Linked DNA regions of Cricetulus griseus. The protein of the gene in region 2 purifies or fractionates together with the protein of the main gene of each other region. This does not show direct contact. Links are inferred from orthologs where the notes say so. Each region holds a gene or a part of one and is shown on either strand. Other genes may lie near its edges.

Evidence for each region. Proteins that work in one complex are often made in the same cells at the same time.
Region 1: the proteins of Ddx6 (region 2) and Mcrip1 purify together in Homo sapiens (affinity purification with mass spectrometry; 3 studies listed by BioGRID and IntAct, with this or other methods). This does not show direct contact. The link is inferred for Cricetulus griseus from reciprocal best matches to the Homo sapiens genes DDX6 and MCRIP1.
Region 3: the proteins of Ddx6 (region 2) and Lsm14b purify together in Homo sapiens (affinity purification with mass spectrometry; 4 studies listed by BioGRID and IntAct, counting the BioPlex papers as one, with this or other methods). This does not show direct contact. The link is inferred for Cricetulus griseus from reciprocal best matches to the Homo sapiens genes DDX6 and LSM14B.
Region 4: the proteins of Ddx6 (region 2) and Edc4 purify together in Homo sapiens (affinity purification with mass spectrometry; 4 studies listed by BioGRID and IntAct, counting the BioPlex papers as one, with this or other methods). This does not show direct contact. The link is inferred for Cricetulus griseus from reciprocal best matches to the Homo sapiens genes DDX6 and EDC4.

Annotation. Positions count from the first base shown.
Region 1 is NC_048600.1:133,030,646-133,034,005, reverse strand, and holds the end of Mcrip1 (mapk-regulated corepressor-interacting protein 1), read left to right. Parts: intron 1-624; 5' UTR 625-669; coding exon 670-677; intron 678-754; coding exon 755-873; intron 874-1,457; coding exon 1,458-1,559; intron 1,560-1,703; coding exon 1,704-1,768; 3' UTR 1,769-2,566; downstream 2,567-3,360. UniProt on the Homo sapiens protein: The phosphorylation status of MCRIP1 functions as a molecular switch to regulate epithelial-mesenchymal transition. Unphosphorylated MCRIP1 binds to and inhibits the transcriptional corepressor CTBP(s).
Region 2 is NC_048597.1:156,289,788-156,294,730, forward strand, and holds the start of Ddx6 (probable ATP-dependent RNA helicase DDX6), read left to right. Parts: upstream 1-1,977; 5' UTR 1,978-2,057; exon of another isoform or gene 2,058-2,156; intron 2,157-2,918; exon of another isoform or gene 2,919-3,019; intron 3,020-3,089; exon of another isoform or gene 3,090-3,232; intron 3,233-4,943.
Region 3 is NC_048599.1:1,901,717-1,905,901, forward strand, and holds the end of Lsm14b (protein LSM14 homolog B), read right to left. Parts: coding exon 4,132-4,185; intron 3,921-4,131; coding exon 3,843-3,920; intron 3,648-3,842; coding exon 3,486-3,647; intron 3,227-3,485; coding exon 3,076-3,226; intron 1,991-3,075; coding exon 1,819-1,990; 3' UTR 1,806-1,818; intron 1,558-1,805; coding exon of another isoform or gene 1,550-1,557; 3' UTR 29-1,549; downstream 1-28. UniProt on the Homo sapiens protein: mRNA-binding protein essential for female fertility, oocyte meiotic maturation and the assembly of MARDO (mitochondria-associated ribonucleoprotein domain), a membraneless compartment that stores maternal mRNAs in oocytes.
Region 4 is NC_048596.1:182,173,199-182,177,383, forward strand, and holds part of Edc4 (enhancer of mRNA-decapping protein 4), read left to right. Parts: intron 1-376; coding exon 377-566; intron 567-660; coding exon 661-808; intron 809-888; coding exon 889-993; intron 994-1,390; coding exon 1,391-1,500; intron 1,501-1,592; coding exon 1,593-1,676; intron 1,677-1,761; coding exon 1,762-1,857; intron 1,858-1,946; coding exon 1,947-2,049; intron 2,050-2,141; coding exon 2,142-2,322; intron 2,323-2,421; coding exon 2,422-2,494; intron 2,495-2,591; coding exon 2,592-2,683; intron 2,684-2,747; coding exon 2,748-2,947; intron 2,948-2,997; coding exon 2,998-3,158; intron 3,159-3,240; coding exon 3,241-3,397; intron 3,398-3,730; coding exon 3,731-4,167; intron 4,168-4,185. UniProt on the Homo sapiens protein: In the process of mRNA degradation, seems to play a role in mRNA decapping. Component of a complex containing DCP2 and DCP1A which functions in decapping of ARE-containing mRNAs. Promotes complex formation between DCP1A and DCP2.

The sequences.
Region 1 (3,360 bases), on a different chromosome or scaffold from region 2:
TTGTGTTCAGCATCTGGGGCTGCTCTATCTGGACCGAGGCCAGGCTTAGGACTAGCCCTGTATGACTGGTTTCCTCATATTGGGCAGTGTGTCCTCAGCTGGTTAATTACAAGAATCTGACCCTAAACATAGACACCCCACCTACTCAGGGCAGCAAAAATCCTCTGGCCTGAAAACAAGTTGCACTCCAGGGTTTTGATCACAGGTCGGGTCAGCCTGGCTGCTTCCTCCAGGGATATCTTCCTCCTGGTTCTCTAGTGTCCTGGGGTCATTTGTTAAATGTCATTGAGCTCAGGGTGGCTGGTTTTCTCACCATGAGTCCCTGTGGACAGTCAGGAGACTGAGTCCCTGTGGACAGTCAGAAGGACACACTGAGAGGGTCCTGGTTGCCCTGTGGGGCAGACCTGGCTGACTTAACCAGGGTTTGGCCTGCTTGTGCCCTCTGTGTGCTCTGACTGACACCAACACTTCCATATCTGTTCAGGATTGCTTGGAGCCCATTAGTCACTCAAGTCTTGGGCCCAGCCTAAAGGTTGGGTCCCCAGGGGAGTCAGGGCCACAGAGTTTACCCCTTTTTCTGCTGGAAAGGTGATGTCTCCAGTGCCTGGGGTTTTTGTTTCATAGGCCGCAGGATCCAGCAGCCAAGCGCCAGGACCAGACACCCCAGCAATGACCAGGTGGGTCTTAGGTGTGTGTGGGAGTTGGGGCCCCATCTGTCCTCCTAATCCCTTCTCACACATGGTGCTCTCCCCAGCTCTCCTGTCTCCAGGGTCGTCTACAACGGCAAGAGAAACAGCAGCCCACGCTCTCCCACCAACAGCAGTGAGATTTTCACGCCGGCACACGAGGAGAACGTGCGTTTCATTTATGAAGGTTGGTGCTAGTGGCGCCTGTGCTCTGCCTCTGCAGTCCTCTGTGGGTGAATACCCCCCTGTCCCACTCTGTCACCTTCAGTGAAGAGGGCACCATACTCTGTGGCCTTAAGTTCTAGAACCAGCAAGACTGGTGACTGAGGGACATGTGATGACAACCCAGGAAGTGGGGGTGGGGAGAACCCCAGAAGTGTCTTGGAGTCAGTCCTCAGGCCTAGAGACTTCCTTGGGAGAGAAAGTAGCTGTGAACACAGTGTCACTCAAGTGGACAGAGGTGGTGTGGTTGGAATTGGAACAAATGTACAGAGAGGTAGGGTGGGTAGAGGTGGGGATGGTAGGGCCCTCTAAGGCATGTATGTGGCCCTCTGCAGCTCGGTGTGGCCATCACACAGAAGGCACTGGCCTGCCTGCAGGAAGAACTGTGCAGAGGGAGGACGGTTGGGGCTCAGCTGACAGCAGACTGGTAGAAACAGGGGTGTCAGGGCAGACACTCTGCATGCTTGGCCCCGCATCGGGACAGACTCTATAGATGCTCTGGTGTCTTGAACACGGCAGGGCTCTGAACCAGGTGTCCTCTTGTTGCAGCTTGGCAGGGTGTTGAGCGGGACCTGCGCAGCCAGCTGTCTGGTGGTGAGCGGGGCCTAGTGGAGGAGTATGTGGAGAAGGTTCCCAACCCCAGCCTCAAGAGTGAGTAGGGCAGCCCTGGAGGGAAGGCCCCTGCTTCCCGACTGCACTGTTGTCCTTCCCAAGGCATTTGGGTTTGGGAGCCTCCAGCAGTGGTGACTGGGTGAGGGTTCTGTTTCCAGCACCAACCAGACTGTCTCCTGACAGCCTTCAAGCCCATCGACCTGAGTGACCTGAAGCGCCGGAACACGCAGGATGCCAAGAAGTCCTAGAGTGCCTGGCGCCCCTCCCCTGGCCTCCAGAAGATCAGGGTGCACTTGATGTTGGTCTCCTCTGTTCCGGTGGCTCTGCTTCTGGGAGGGGGGAGGAGAGTGTGCTCTAGCAGGCCACAATCCCCAGAGCCAGCAGGATTGATGGCCAAGGCCCTTCCTTTCCTCTCCAGGGTCTCAAGTTGCCCCTGTCACTGGGGGAACAGGGGTCTGGCCATGTCAGCTCCTGTCCTTTCCCCTGGCCAGCTGCATCTTGGGTAGCACCTGGCCCTGCCGACCCAACCCTCTCTGCTGTTACCTGCCATGCCTCTCCTCTCGCCTTCCTGGCTACTTAAGGTCAGAAAGGAAAAAAAGGGACCTCTGTTGGAACCTTGAATGACCAGAAATTAGGACATGTGCAGTCCCACCTGCATCCAGTCTGGGTCTCTCCATGGATACTTGCTGTTCTTCTGGCCTGGACATTTGGGGAGCCCCCCCCCCCATCCCCACTGTCCACTTGCCCCTTTCTTGCCTCAGTTTCAGAGTGGAATCAGCTCTGAGCCTAGGACAGTTCTGGCTCCCTGAAGGGGCCTCTAGCAACCAGGCCTGGTCTCCTGGTACCTGTAGCCCTGTGGTCACAGCAGTGCCCTTGAGCAGGGGCACTAAGGCTGACCTTGAAGGAGTGGTGCTGCCAGGCCTGTCCTGGCTTTCTGGGGTGTACTGGGAGGATCACCAAGGCCCCCTTTTCTTGTGCCCTCTTGAATCCAAGTGTCTGTGTTGGAGACTGAGGGTCTGTGAATAAAGGCGGGTGGCACTGGAAAATGGCTTCTTAGCAGTCTGTTAGGCCCTACCCTGAAGCCCACACAGCTGCACAGGCCTGGAAACTCAGGCCCGTTGAGCCCTGGAGGTCTCTGAGCCCCTGGACCCCAGAGCAGTCTGGTGAGTGGTGAAACCAGACTCTCATGTTCTCTAAGGTGCCATTCCTCATGTGGCACTCCTTGGCCACCTTGAACTCCTTGCTGGCTTGGTCTGTGGACTCTGAGGAGCATTGGCTCCTGTGCTGTCCAGGGGCAGCTGCTGGGCCCAGGAGAGACCTGTTTGCATTTGACCTTCAGTCATGGAAACAGCCCTGGAACACTCCTGCTCCCAAGAAGATGCCAAAACGGGATTTATTTCAGGACCATGCTTTCCCAGAAGAGTATTCCGGGGCTCAAGTGGCCCCCAGAGGCATCTCCTGCGTGTGGGCTGGGCAAGACAAGTCTCCTCAGGGAGGTGCAGGCAATACAGGGCAGTGAGAAAGCTGATCTAGGTGCCAAGCCACCCCCATGACTTGGCATTGTCAGTTCCCTGGGGCATGTTGGGCTGTTTGAAGAAGCTCAGTGTCCTAGGCTGTGGGTTACCCAATCTGCTTCCCATTGTCGGGACTGGAAGGGATGTGGACAGCTCAGGGGATACCAGGACAAGGTGGGTAGGCAAACAACCCAGGATACCAGCGTGCCCACTGGGATCAGGGATCAGGCAACATCCTAACCTGAGGTCATTCTGCCTCCTAGTGGTGTTGATTTCATCCCAACTATGCCAGAGCATTTCCAGGGGCTTCCCAGCCTTTCCTGGAG
Region 2 (4,943 bases):
TAGCCACACATTATTTTCAAATTAATAAGTAAAAACTACTGGTGCATAGTAATCATATGAAAACAAAAGAGCAAAATGAATAAGTAAGACCTCTGGGTGATCATCAGACTATACCTTGTGTGCCCTGATGAGGCCCAAAGACACCTGGTGTGCTGAGCTGGCCAGCTGGTGGTAGTGAGGGAATATTACCTGTCATAGAGACTAAAACTCTGCAAACTACATCTGACTGTTTGGAGAGATGTATTTAACCCATTTCCATCTTTGCTTGTCCTCAAAACAAAGTACTAAAGTACTTTTCTTGCTAAAGTACTTTTCTATTTGTTCACCTTGTAGGTGGGTTTCTGGATCATTTTCCTGAAAAAGTATACATTTTATAAACATAAAGATACTATGTGCATTAGCAAAGAACTCATTTTTAATTTTACCTTTTTTTATGTGTATGGGTTTTTTTTTTTTGCCTGCATGCAAGGTGTGTGTGTGCCTGGTCCAGAAAAAGGATGTCAGATCTCCCAGAACTGGATTAAGTCAGTTGTGAGCTGCAATGTGGGTGTTAGAAATTGAACCTAGGTCCTCTGCAAGAGTAGCAATTGCTTCCACCCTCTGAGCCATCTCTCAAGACCCCATTTGTATTTTCTAAAATCACATTTAATTTTGTATGTGGGTGGACTTTCGAGGTTGAGGACAATGTATAGTATTAAGTTCTGTTCTTGAGGGTCAAACTGAGGTTGTCAGGTTTAGAGGCAAACATCTTTATCACTGAGCCATCTGACCACAACCTTCTACTTTTTTTTTCTAAAGACAAGAGTCCAACTGGTTAGCCTGGAACTCACTATGTAGACAGGCTGCCTCAAACTCCCAGAGATCTGCCTATCTCTGCCTCCCAAGTGATGGGATTAAGGTGTGAACACAAGCCTGATCCAAAAAAAAAGCATTTTTAAAGATGGTAATGGATTATCACTCACTTTAAAAATAAGAACACAGGCTGGGCATTGGTGGTGCATGCCTTTAGTCCCAGCACTTATGAGGCAGAGGCAGGCGAATCTCAGTGAGTTTGAGACCGGCCTGATCTACAGAGTGAGTTCCAGGACAGGCTCTAAAGCCACAGAGAAACCCTGTCTCGAAAAACCAAAAAAAACAAAACAAAACAGCTTTAGGCCAGACAGTGTTGTCGCAAGCCTTTAACCTTAGCACTCAGTGAGGCAGAGGCAGGCAGATCTCTGAGTCTGAGCCAGCCTGGTCTACAGTGCCAGTCCCAGGAAAGTCAGGGCTACACGGGGAAACCCTACCTCCAAAAACCAAACACCACAACAAAAAGGGACACACAAGGCCTCATACCTCCAAGAGATAGATCATTTAGCTCACTTAGATTCTCTCCAGGGTGAGCACAAGGTGCGGGCCTTATCCCCTTGCATGAAGTTACTTTAAAATCTGGATGGGAGGTGACATGCTTTAAACTCAGAGTTGCAAAACGTAAAATAACAACAACAATAATAACGCACTTAGTGTAATGGCACACACTTGTAAATCCCAGCCATGAGTTCCAGGCTAGCCAGAGCTATGGTGCAAGAATCTGTCTCAAGACAACACAGGGCAGTCTTTGCTTTATGGAACTAAATCAGAATCACCAAATGACAACAGGATGTTATTTGGTCGGGGTTTGCTAAGGCAATGGGGTCAACAAGCATCCACGGGCGTTTGGTAAAGAGTTAAACCCTCGAAGGAAGAAAAAAAAAAAGTTAAGCGCTACAGTAAAAAAAAAAAAAAAAATTGGGTTGGGAGGGAAGAAAGGCTTCAGGCTTATTCTGATTGGATCTTGTTGGCAAGAAAACAGGAGGAGGGCTAGAAGCAGGGACTCATTGGTTTAGAGAACATATTTGGCTTCTTCTGATTGGTCTCAAGTTGGAAGCCGCGGCAAAAAAAAAAAAAAAAAAAGGGAGGTGCTAGTCAGTGACTCAAGTATTGACTGTCCGGGGCCCATTAATTTGTGTGTTCCGGGATGGAGTCCTATTGTCACATATGGTTTGACCATTGTCAGTTATTTCCAGCCTCTCAGCCACGTGAGACTTAGATTTTTACTTTCCCTTTAGCCCAGCTCGATTTTATCTCCAAATGCTTATTTTACTTGGAACAAGACGGCTTTTTTGTTGTTGTTAAGGGTAAGACATTAGAACCGGGAAATCATAGAAACAAATGCACGAGTATCTCTGCAGTGAGGGTCAGGCAGGAGAAGCTACTGGTTTCCCTTTTCCGTAAGAGTCCTCGCTCGTAGAGGCAGTCTTGCCCTTTGCAGAAGAGTGTCACTGCGGGCAGGAACAAAGGGTCACCTCGCCTGCCCTCTGGGCTTGGTAGCCCACGACCGAGGGCGCGCTCCCGGCTCTCGCTCTCCCTGGGAGCGGGCTCGGGGCCGGTACCCCTTCCCGCAGCCTGCCCAGCAGCGCGGGCCCCGCCAGCCCCACTTCCGCGCGACCCCGGGTGGAGGTGCGCCTGGCCTCGCAGCAGCCTCACGGCCATCCCAGGTCAGCTTCCCGGCCCCGAGCCCGCGCCGCCGGCTGCCTGCCCGCGGAGCGCGTCCTTGGTGAGGAGTCAGCAGACCTCCCCTCCGGCCCCGACCCGCGAGCCAGCTTTGGAGGGAGGGACGAAGGCAAGGGCGACTGTCCCCGGCCACCATTCCCTCCCGAGCTGGGTCTCCTCCGCTCTGCAGGCAAGCCCTCCGGAAAGCGGCCCCATGTTTCCCTGAGCTCGGCGCGGTCCGGGAAGGGTCTCTCCCGACCCTCGCCCACCGCGCCCAGGAAGCCGTGACGCCGCGGCGGCGGCGGCGGCGGCGGTGCTGCAGCAGCGGCCGGGCTCTCGCCATCTTGTGTGGAGGAGGAGCCGCGGCCGCCGCCATGCGGAGAGGCTGGGAAGGAGGGAGGGAGGGAGGCGGCGGCGGCGGCGGCGAGCGAGGGAGGGGGCAGAGGAGCAGAGTCCGCTCAGCCCGGCGGCGACTTCGGGGGCGCCGACACACCGGGCCGCGGCCGAGGTAGCGCGGGACGGCGGCGGCGCGGGCGGCGGGCGGCGCGGCGGGGGCGGGGCGGCGGGCGTAGCGGCGAGGGCCGGTGGGGGCGGGCGGAGGTTTCCGAGGAGGAAGGAGCCGCCGCCATTTTGGGAGCTTCGAGTCAACAATAAAGGACCGAGGGTGCGGAGCGGGAGTGGCCTCGGTGGTAGGACTCGGGCCCGAGCCGCGGGGCGTGGGGTGAGGCGGCGTGGTCGGGGTCGGCGGGGCCATGGAGGTCGCGGGGAGCCCCCTCGGGCGGGCGTCGGGGCGCGCTTGGGGCGGAGGCCCGAGGCCCAGGCCCGGCCGGGGGAGGACGGGCGGCCGACCGCTGAGTGGAGCGGGGGAGGCGGAGAGGAGTGAACCGAGGGATGTGGTGCGCCGCGGGGTCTGGAGGAGGAGCGGCGGAGTGCTCGGGGCTGGCCGTGGGCTAGACGGGCGAGGGGACCGAGCGGCGGCCGCGACTCGGCAGCGGTGTCGGGAGTACGAGGCAGCCCTGTGGGGGGCGGCAGGGCTGTGCTGGCCCGAGACGGGCCTGGGAGAGGACCCGCAGCGGCTGGGCTGCAAGTAGGCCCTGCAGGTCGCGGGGGACTGGGGGCTTTAGGGGAGCCTCCGGCTTAGAGGAGAGCAGAGGCTTTCCAGTTTGGGGGTTCTCTTCCGGGCTTTCTGAGGGGAGTCCCTATTGTTTCCTACCCGCGGAGCTGGTTCCGGCTCTTGTGGCGCAGATAGGATTGCAGGGCACCAAAGCCTTTTGCGTTTTTTGATCTGAGGGAGCTGGGTTTGAAGAGAGTGTGGTTGGGGGAGGGGGCGAGGAATTATTGCCCTACGGTTACCGGACTCCAGTCCTTGGCTTGACTCTTCCCTTTTCCACAGCCCCCTTTTCCTTCGGAATAACCCCACTCTAACTTCCTGCTGAGGCTTAGAGAAATTGCGCTGCATTTGCAAACAAAAGCCCTTGTTGGAGCTGATGATACTGTCTTGGGTGTGAAACTGTCAATTGCTAACCACGGTCAGGGAAGTGCTGTAATTAACTCCGCCAGGGGCTCCTCCCAACTAAGTCTACGTACCTTCGTGGGGTTTTGTGTGTGTGTGTGTGTGTGTGTGTGTGTGTGTGTGTGTGTGTGTGTGTGTGTGTGTGTTTTAAATGTAGGAATATAACTTGCAAATCGAAACTGGGAAGGGGTAGGGAAGAATATTTCTCCACTAAGACAGAAAGCTGCAGTGCAGGTGTCAGTTTAAGTAGGGAGCAGTTATCGTGGAGTCTCACTTTGGATTTAAGGCAATATAGGAGGTCTTACTGTGCATGATTGACAGAAGTCATGGTGTCATTTAGTATTCAGAGATTGCCCCTCTCATCCTCTTAGTGCTTTGCAAACAGGTAAGCCTTCCTGTTGGATGTACCTGATACTGTTGATCATAACAGGAACCTGTAAATACAGAAAGTAGCTGTTACCAGAATAAACAACTGCATTTGATAAGCAGCATTTGTGAGCAAGTTGATGCATAAAGTTTTTTTTATTCGTTTTAGCAAACGGTGTTTGCTAACAAAACTTGAAATATCTTTTGACTTTAAAATTTTGGATTTCGGATACATTGGTATATGGAAAAAATAACTAACACTGATTAAGTTAGTGTTTGGGGAGAGGGTGGAATGTAAGGGGGTTAAAAGATAAAACCAAAGGAGTTGGACTTGTGCTCTGGTCTTTGGCTTTTTTTTTTTTTGGTTTTTCTGTGGCTTTTGGAGGCTGTCCTGGAACTAGCTCTTGTAGAACAGACTGGTATGGAACTCACAGAGATCAGCCTGCCTCTGCCTCCAGAGTGTTGGGATTAAAGACTTGCGCCACCAACGCCCGGCGGCAATTCTTTAGTACTAAATTTTGAGAATTCCATTTGGGGAACAGTTTAAAATGGA
Region 3 (4,185 bases), on a different chromosome or scaffold from region 2:
GGATGCAAAGCTGCTTATATCTAGTGCATAAGTTTTTATTGCATAAGTCTTTATTAGTCAAGGGCAGGAATACATCATTGATAATCCCAAGGCTGCCTGCCTCCTGCAGGCTGCTCCTCTAACCTGACACAAACCAAGAGTGCCATCCAATCCATTGACCATGTATCTGCTCTGGAGGACTGCCTTCAATACTTGGGGAACAGTTACGGCAAAGCAAAGTGCTTTGTAGCTATAGCAGTTTTCATTCATACTAGACTAGGGTGTTCACCCTAGCAAGATAGCCCAGTGAGAACGAGCAAGCCTACTTCATCTATGGTCATCAGGTCACTTTCTGGCATATCATATGGTACCTTGTAAGTACCTCCACACCCTTAACTAGCGGAGGTATGCTGTAGGTCTGACTAGAACCTGCTTCTGAGTAGGCCTTGGACGTGACACAGGTGATGGAGGCAGCATTTGAAGGTTTGAATGTTTATTTAGTTTGCATTACCCCAACAGTAGCCCCAGTGCTGTGTTCTATTCTCAGCTATGAAGTCCTACAAAAATAAACCCAAGCTTTTGCAATGCGACTTCATCAACACAGAACTAAAGCTTTGTAGCTATTTGAAGGGGTTTTGGTTATCAAGGTGCTTGTTTTCAACAAAATGCCCTGTCAGTCAGAGGATGCATGCTCATACAGAAAAATCTGACCCATTTACTCATGCAACAAAGTTTATGTTCCCACCCTCCCTCCATCACCTTTAAAATAAACACACAACAACTATTTACAAACGAGGAAATAAGGCCAGTGACCTTAGAAAGAAGGGGGAAAAAAAAAAAAAACTGGCTCATTTCAAAGTAGATGAGAACACTTAAGTGCAGCCAGAGTCTAACAATGACTGACCTGGGCTAGAGGCGACAAGGACAGGAAGGTTGGTCACACCATATTGGCTTGTCTTGGACTTCGACACTAAGCCTCAGTACCTGTGGAAGCCAGGCTCTACATGACACTCAGGGGGCCCTTCCTACTGTACTCCTCCTCTGTCAGCCTCGAACCCTGAACATCACTTGTTCATTACACAACATGATCCATGGAACACCACCCCCTCCCTGCCCTTGACCCTCCCACCCCTATCCTATGACTGGTTCACCCTGTGCTGGCCCTGCCTGGATCCTGAGACTTCCCACTGTTAGCAGATGGGGTACCAGGCCAGCAGCACCAGGGGCCAGATGGGTTGCAGAGACACATTTGGACACCACACGTGCCAAATAAAATTTGGTTCCGTTTTAAGAGTCAAAGCTGTCGTTTAAAAAAAAAAAAAAAAAATTACAAAGTGAGGACTGAGCCTTTGCCTATAGAAACCTTTTTGCAAAATACCAAAACCTTACAATTCGGCTGTGTGCAACCAAGAAGAAAATGTAGGTCAAGATACCTTCAGGAGATCACCTACAAATACTTCCCCCAAAACAAGTGGTTCTAATCAGACCACATCCAAGTTTAGGTTGAGTCCAAAGCCAAGTAGTATGAGGGTGTCCAGACTTGGTAAACAAGATCCTTGTGTCCTTATCTTCAGAACCCTGTGAGAGGACAGGAAGTCAGTGTCCAACAGGTATCTGTCACACAGCTATCTATTCCCTCACCACCCTGGGGACCGGAAGGCAGTAAAGGTAGGGAACTGGCCCTCCACATCCTACATGGAATTGCATAGGACGCTCCAGCCCTTGTTTCTGTGAACAGACAGGCTTGCTCCCCACTTCTAAGTATGGTCTAGGGATGTTCACCCCACCACCTCCTTCCCCAAGGATCCAGAACGGTTCCCACTCACGTGTACTGCACCCTTACACCCGGCCAGTCCCAGCTCGGTGGGAAGTGGGGTTGCGCCGTGTTGTCCCATTGCCTCTACCTCCTCGGAATCCACCACGTGAACTGCGGCCACGAAGGAACCTCCCAGACACCCCAAAGGTCTCAGTGTTCAGCTTTCTCTCTTCAGCCCATGTCGTCCGCCTAGAACTAAACCAAAAGATGAGGTATGTTAAGATCTGACTATAAGCTGGGCGGTGGGGTTGCACACCTTTTATCCCAACACTTGGGAAGCAGAGGCAGGTCTACAGAGCAAGCTCCAGGACAGCAAGGGCTACCCAGGGAAACCGTCTTTTGAAAAACAACAACAAAATCTGACTGTAGTGGGCAACAACTACAGTTTCTGAAATAGGCTTTGTCCCTTGAACAGCAGAAACGGAAGGATGAGCAGGGGAACACTCAACCTAATGCTGCAGAGATCAGGCCTATTTTGGCTCAAGATCCCTCTATCACCAAGAGTAAACAAGTGACACAAGTGGGTGACAAAGAAGCCCTTAAGAGCTCACACAAAAGCATTTAGATCCCAGCCCTTCCTGCTGCCACGTTTGGTCCCCATCCTCCAGCTGAACCATCTAGCTTCCATACCAGCCCATCTTCAGTCACTGTCACCAAGAGGCAGTACAGGTCAACCAGCCGCTCCTGACTGTCTGATTATTTGCTTAGAATATAGTCTACACTATCCCTCGCCCATTCAGATGCATAGCCATGTGCAGGTTGCTGAGACCTGGCCACACCCTCCTACAAGATACAGCCGGGCTTAAGTTCTTCTTTTAGCTTGTGTCACTCTTGCTTCGATTGCTCCCCTAGTATGTGTGCATGGCCCAGGCTACCCAGCTCACTTCCTGTTCTTCAATGGCCTGAGTTGCACACTATGCCTGCTCTGAAGCTTACCATACAGTCTAGGGGTGCTCATCTACAGTGCTGACACACATCACAATCTCTGACTTCCAGGACTTGAGAGGACAGGCAGGCACATCAGGCAGGAAAGAGCAGCACTAATGGGGATGCAAGAACTCAACCTCAGCAAGTCCTCATCAGGTTAGGGGACAGACAGAGGGTTCTGGCACTACATCCTAGATGGCATGGACAGACCCAGTTGGTACTCTTGTAGTTGTCATGTAGAAATATGTAGAAAACAAGCTCAAAGCTTGGACTTAATGTTAGTATACTTTAAGTCACATGCTTCTTAGACTTACAAAACAGCTACCCTTTCCGCAGTGTGCTTAGGCCCTTACCTTGTTTTGAGTTCAGAAGAAATGTTGTCAAAGAAGGACTTGGACTTGTCATAGTAACAGTTGGGCCCCAGAAGATCTTCCTCAGCAGGAGTCTCTTCACTCTGGGTCATCACTGCTGGGTCCTTCTCTTCCCCTTTCTCAGCCTTGTCATCTACAAAGACAAACACTACCCAGTCAGTCTCCTGTTAGGGGTCCACTCTGCAGCTGTCCTCAGGCCCAGAGAGATCCTTTCCTCTCATGGCAAGTCACAAGCTTCACACACCCATCCCAGCCCTCCTCATCTATTCCTCAGAGTGCACTCCAATTCCCACACTGGTCAGGACCTCAACTCACTCCAGAGTGATGCCAGTCATTCTGTCCCAACATGCTCTAGGGATTCTCTTGGGGGATAACTTTCAAATGAATCAGACCTTTAAAATTCAATTTCTTCTTAAATTCTTTATCAAGCTCTTCTCGGTTGAACTGGGCATTTGCACTCTCAAAATCAAAGTCACCTTCAAACTTGATTGTGTTTTCCTTAACATTAGTTGGACGGTTTTGCCCTCTGGAACGATTTCTTGTTCGCCGATTGCCTATGTAGACAATAAACAGCATGGGCTGAATTCACCAACTTATTTCCAGCTTGAATTCAAAAGCAACTCACAGACACACTGATGACAAATGGCACGGTTCACTGAAGCACCACCTTAGCCCCAAGTTCCCAGCACAGGAAGCAAAGCACAGCCTGCTGCTCATGGCTACAGAACTCCAGTGGCCCTGGGTGTTACCTGACCGCCTCCGTGGAGGTCTTCTGTTCTCGTCATTCACCTGCCCTTGGGTGTGCACAGGTGTCGGCTGGACTACATCTAAGGTGCAAAGGGAAAAGTGAGGCCAAGCTCCGCAGAAGCCAGAACCCAGCCACCAAAAGCAGAGCGCCACTACCACATGCTACCTGCCCACAGGCCTGCTTGCAAAAGTGTGTGGTCTGGGATGAGGGCAATGCTTTAAAATCCATGTCCCAGTGAGTATGACATTGGAGACACAGAGAAACTGCAGGGGAAATCAGTGTTCAAGTACCGCTGGCAGTCTTGCTGCTTGGCTGAGCCTGGCGACCATTGAGCTGTGTCCCCG
Region 4 (4,185 bases), on a different chromosome or scaffold from region 2:
GTGGCAGGTACCTTTAATCCTAGCACTTGGGAGGCAGAGGCCGGCGATCTCTCTGAGTTTAAGGCTAGCCTGGTCTACAGAATGAGTTCCAGGACAGGCTCCATACCTACACAGAGAAGCCCTGTTTTGAAAAACAAAGAAAGAAAAAAAAAAAGAAAGAAAAAAGAAAGTGCTCTGTTAGAAGCCCCAGAAATGCAGATTTAGGGTCAGGCAACTCAGGCCACTTGGATGATTGTGGTACAATAGGGCTGGCGGAGATGGTTAGGGGAAACAGGCTTGTTAGTGTGATGACAGCAGTGAGGTAGGCAAGGGCAGGGCTTCTATCCTGCTGCCTGGGTCAGGAGCTTGCTCAGATTCTCTACTCTTCACATTCCAGCTGCCAACAACGGCTCAGCAATGGTACGTGTGATCAGTGTCAGCACTTCAGAGCGGACCCTACTCAAAGGTTTCACAGGCAGTGTGGCTGATCTGGCCTTCGCACACCTCAACTCTCCACAGCTTGCCTGCCTGGATGAGGCCGGCAATCTTTTTGTGTGGCGCTTGGCTCTGGTTAAGGGTAAAATTCAGTATCCATTCCCAGGCAAGGGACTGAAGAAGTAGAACTGGGTCTGGGGCTGCTAGGGATGTTTCTACCTATCTAAGCCTTAACTCCCTACTCAGAGAAGAGATTTTAGTCCATATCAGACAGCCAGAGGGCACACCACTGAACCACTTCCGAAGGATCATCTGGTGCCCCTTCATCCCTGAGGAAAGTGAGGACTGTTGTGAGGAAAGTAGCCCAACAGTGGCCCTGCTGCATGAAGACCGGGTGAGAGTACTGGGTCTGGTGAAGGAGGTATCAGCACTGCCATTTTTGCATGTGGGCTAAATGCCTCCCTGTACCCCTAGGCTGAGGTATGGGACCTGGATATGCTTCGCTCCAGCCATAATACCTGGCCTGTGGATGTCAGCCAAATCAAGCAGGGCTTCATTGTGGTAAAAGGCCATAGCACGGTAGGCCTACAACTGGTTGCCTCCCTACATTTCTCCTCTTTCTGTGCCCTTCATCAATTCTCCATTTTCATAACTGCCCAAGTGGCTTTACCAGTATGTTGTCAGTGGGGATGTTGAACACAAAAATTGGCTCTCGCTTGTACAGTTCACTTCTAATCTAGATGTGCCCGAAAGACTAGTTTTCTCTGTAGTGTCTACCTGCTCTATTCAGTCACATAGAAGTGTGAGTCTATTGTCAGTCAGCCCAGCTCACCACCATCGTCATTTAGGAAGGGCTCATTCCTGCCTCAGGTCAGGAGGAAAAGCACAGCTTTGGGGGGTTTTGCTTTTGTTGTTGTTTTGAGACAGTTTGTCTGTGTAGCCCTGGCTCTCCTGGAACTTTTTGGGTTCTTTGCAGTGCTTAAGTGAAGGAGCCCTCTCTCCTGATGGGACTGTTCTGGCTACTGCAAGCCATGATGGCTTTGTCAAGTTCTGGCAGATCTACATTGAAGGTCAGGATGAGCCAAGGTGAGGCAAGACCTGAAAGACCCTACTCTGTACCCCCTGTCTAGAAAGTTGAATAGTTTGTTCACTTAGGCCCCTCACCTGTCTGCTTATAGGTGTCTGCATGAATGGAAGCCTCATGATGGACGACCCCTTTCTTGCCTCTTATTCTGTGATAACCATAAAAAACAGGATCCTGAGTGAGTGAGTGGGCAGACAAAGTCAGTGGTGGGCTTGTCCATGGACTCCTACCAGGTAACCAATCAGTGCCTTGTTTCTTTTCAGGGTCCCATTCTGGAGGTTCCTCATTACTGGCGCTGACCAAAATCGGGAGCTAAAGATGTGGTGTACAGTTTCCTGGACCTGCCTGCAAACCATTCGGTAAACTAGAACTAGTGGGTTGAGGATAGGCCAGGGATATGACTTCTTTGAATTCTCAGTCTTACCTGGTCTACTTCTTGGCTTCCTAGTTTCTCCCCAGATATCTTCAGCTCAGTGAGCGTACCTCCCAGCCTCAAAGTTTGCTTGGACCTCTCGGCGGAGTATCTGATTCTTAGTGATGTGCAACGAAAGGTAGGCTGCTGTGGCCGTACACTGGGAAGGAGGGCAGGGATGCGTGACATATCCCTCAGTTCAGTTCCATTAGGAATGTGTTGCTCACACAGGTCCTCTATGTGATGGAGCTGCTACAGAACCAAGACGAAGGCCGTGCTTGCTTTAGTTCCATCTCTGAGTTCCTGCTTACCCACCCTGTGCTGAGCTTTGGCATCCAGGTTGTGAGTCGATGCCGGCTGCGGCACACTGAGGTGCTGCCTGCTGAGGAGGAGAATGACAGTCTGGGGGCTGGTGAGGTGCCCCAGGGCTGGGGTTATTTGTTGGTATGTGGGAAGTGTTGAGGCACAGGGCAAGCTACTCAATGCTCAATGATCCACACTGTCCTTTCAGAGAGTTCCCATGGAGCTAGTGCCATGGAATCTGCAGCTGGTGTGCTTATCAAGCTCTTTTGTGTGCATACTAAGTGAGTGTCAGGGAAGCCCGCATGTCCTGTCTCTTTCCCTACCCTACTGGCCCTGGCTCATTCAAGTAATCTATTCTTCCCCTTTCTTGTTCTTTAGGGCACTACAGGATGTACAGATCCGCTTCCAGCCACAACTGAACCCTGATGTGGTGGCTCCACTGCCTACCCACCCTGCTCACGAGGACTTCAGTGAGTTAGGGAATAGAAGGGATGCAGGTTATACTGACATGGTTCTGAGATCTGACTCAAGTAGCTTTCCCAACAGCGTTTGGAGAGTCCCGACCTGAACTAGGCTCTGAGGGATTAGCTTCAGCTGCTCATGGGTCTCAGCCTGACCTTCGACGCATCGTGGAACTCCCTGCACCTTCAGACTTCCTCAGTCTGAGCAGTGAGACCAAGCCTAAGTTGATGACACCTGATGCTTTCATGACGCCTACCGCTTCCCTGCAGCAGGTACTTCCTCAGTGAAGAGAGGCCTGGTAATGTTCCATTCGCATCCTTAGTGCTCATTCTCTGGATCTTCCCAGATGTCTGCGTCCCCTAGCAGTAGCAGTAGCAGCAGCAGCAGCAGCAGCAGCAGCAGTAGCAGCAGCAGCAGCAGCAGCTCTCTAACAGCTGTGTCTGCTGTGAGTAGCTCCTCAGCCATGGACCCCTCCTTGCCCAGGTAAGGCAAAGATCATGTGATAGTAGAGTCTAGTACCAGATTGTGACAAATTACAGTAGCTAATATCTCACCCTTCTGACAGTAGACCACCTGAGGAGCTGACCTTGAGTCCCAAGCTGCAGCTGGATGGCAGCCTGACAATAAACAGCAGCAGCAGCCTGCAGGCAAGCCCTCGAAGCCTCCTTCCTGGGCTGCTCTCAGGCCCAGCTGACAAATTGACTCCCAAGGGACCTGGGCAGGTGTGTATGTGGGGGTGGGGGGGGGGGGGGGAGGGTAATGAGGTACTGGGTAGCAGGTGGGGGGCAATGGGGAAGATTGGAGCTCTCTATTCCTACATATTTTTTCTGCTGATCCTGCTTGTCCTTGGGGGCTTCATATTTCTCAAAGATTATAGAGGTTTTCATGTTCCAGTGGCAAATCCTCAGCCTCCCATTCCCACCCCTCCCTTGTGAACTGTGGCCCTGCTTTTTACTTGCATATCTCTTCCCTGTTACACTGTCTCATCACTGTGATACCAGTTCCTTGTCTCCGTACCCCTTATTACTTAAGCCTCCATCTTTGGCCCTTCTCAGGTATCTACTGCTGCCTCTGCACTATCCTTGGATTTGCAAGAAGTGGAACCTCTGGGGCTACCCCAGGCCTCTCCCAGTCGCACCCGTTCCCCTGATGTGATCTCTTCAGCTTCCACTGCCCTGTCCCAGGACATCCCTGAAATTGCATCTGAGGCCTTGTCCCGTGGCTTTGGCTCCTCTGTTCCTGAGGGCCTCATTGAGCCAGACAGTATGGCCTCAGCTGCTTCAGCACTACACTTACTGTCTCCTCGGCCCAGGCAAGGCCCTGAGCTTGGCTCTCAGCTTGGCCTAGATGGAGGCCCTGGGGATGGGGATCGGCATAATACCCCCTCCCTACTGGAAGCAGCCTTGACCCAGGAGGTTGCAACCCCTGACAGTCAAGTCTGGCCTACAGCACCTGACATTACTCGTGAGACTTGTAGTACCTTGGCAGAAAGGTGAGATGATTAGAAGGG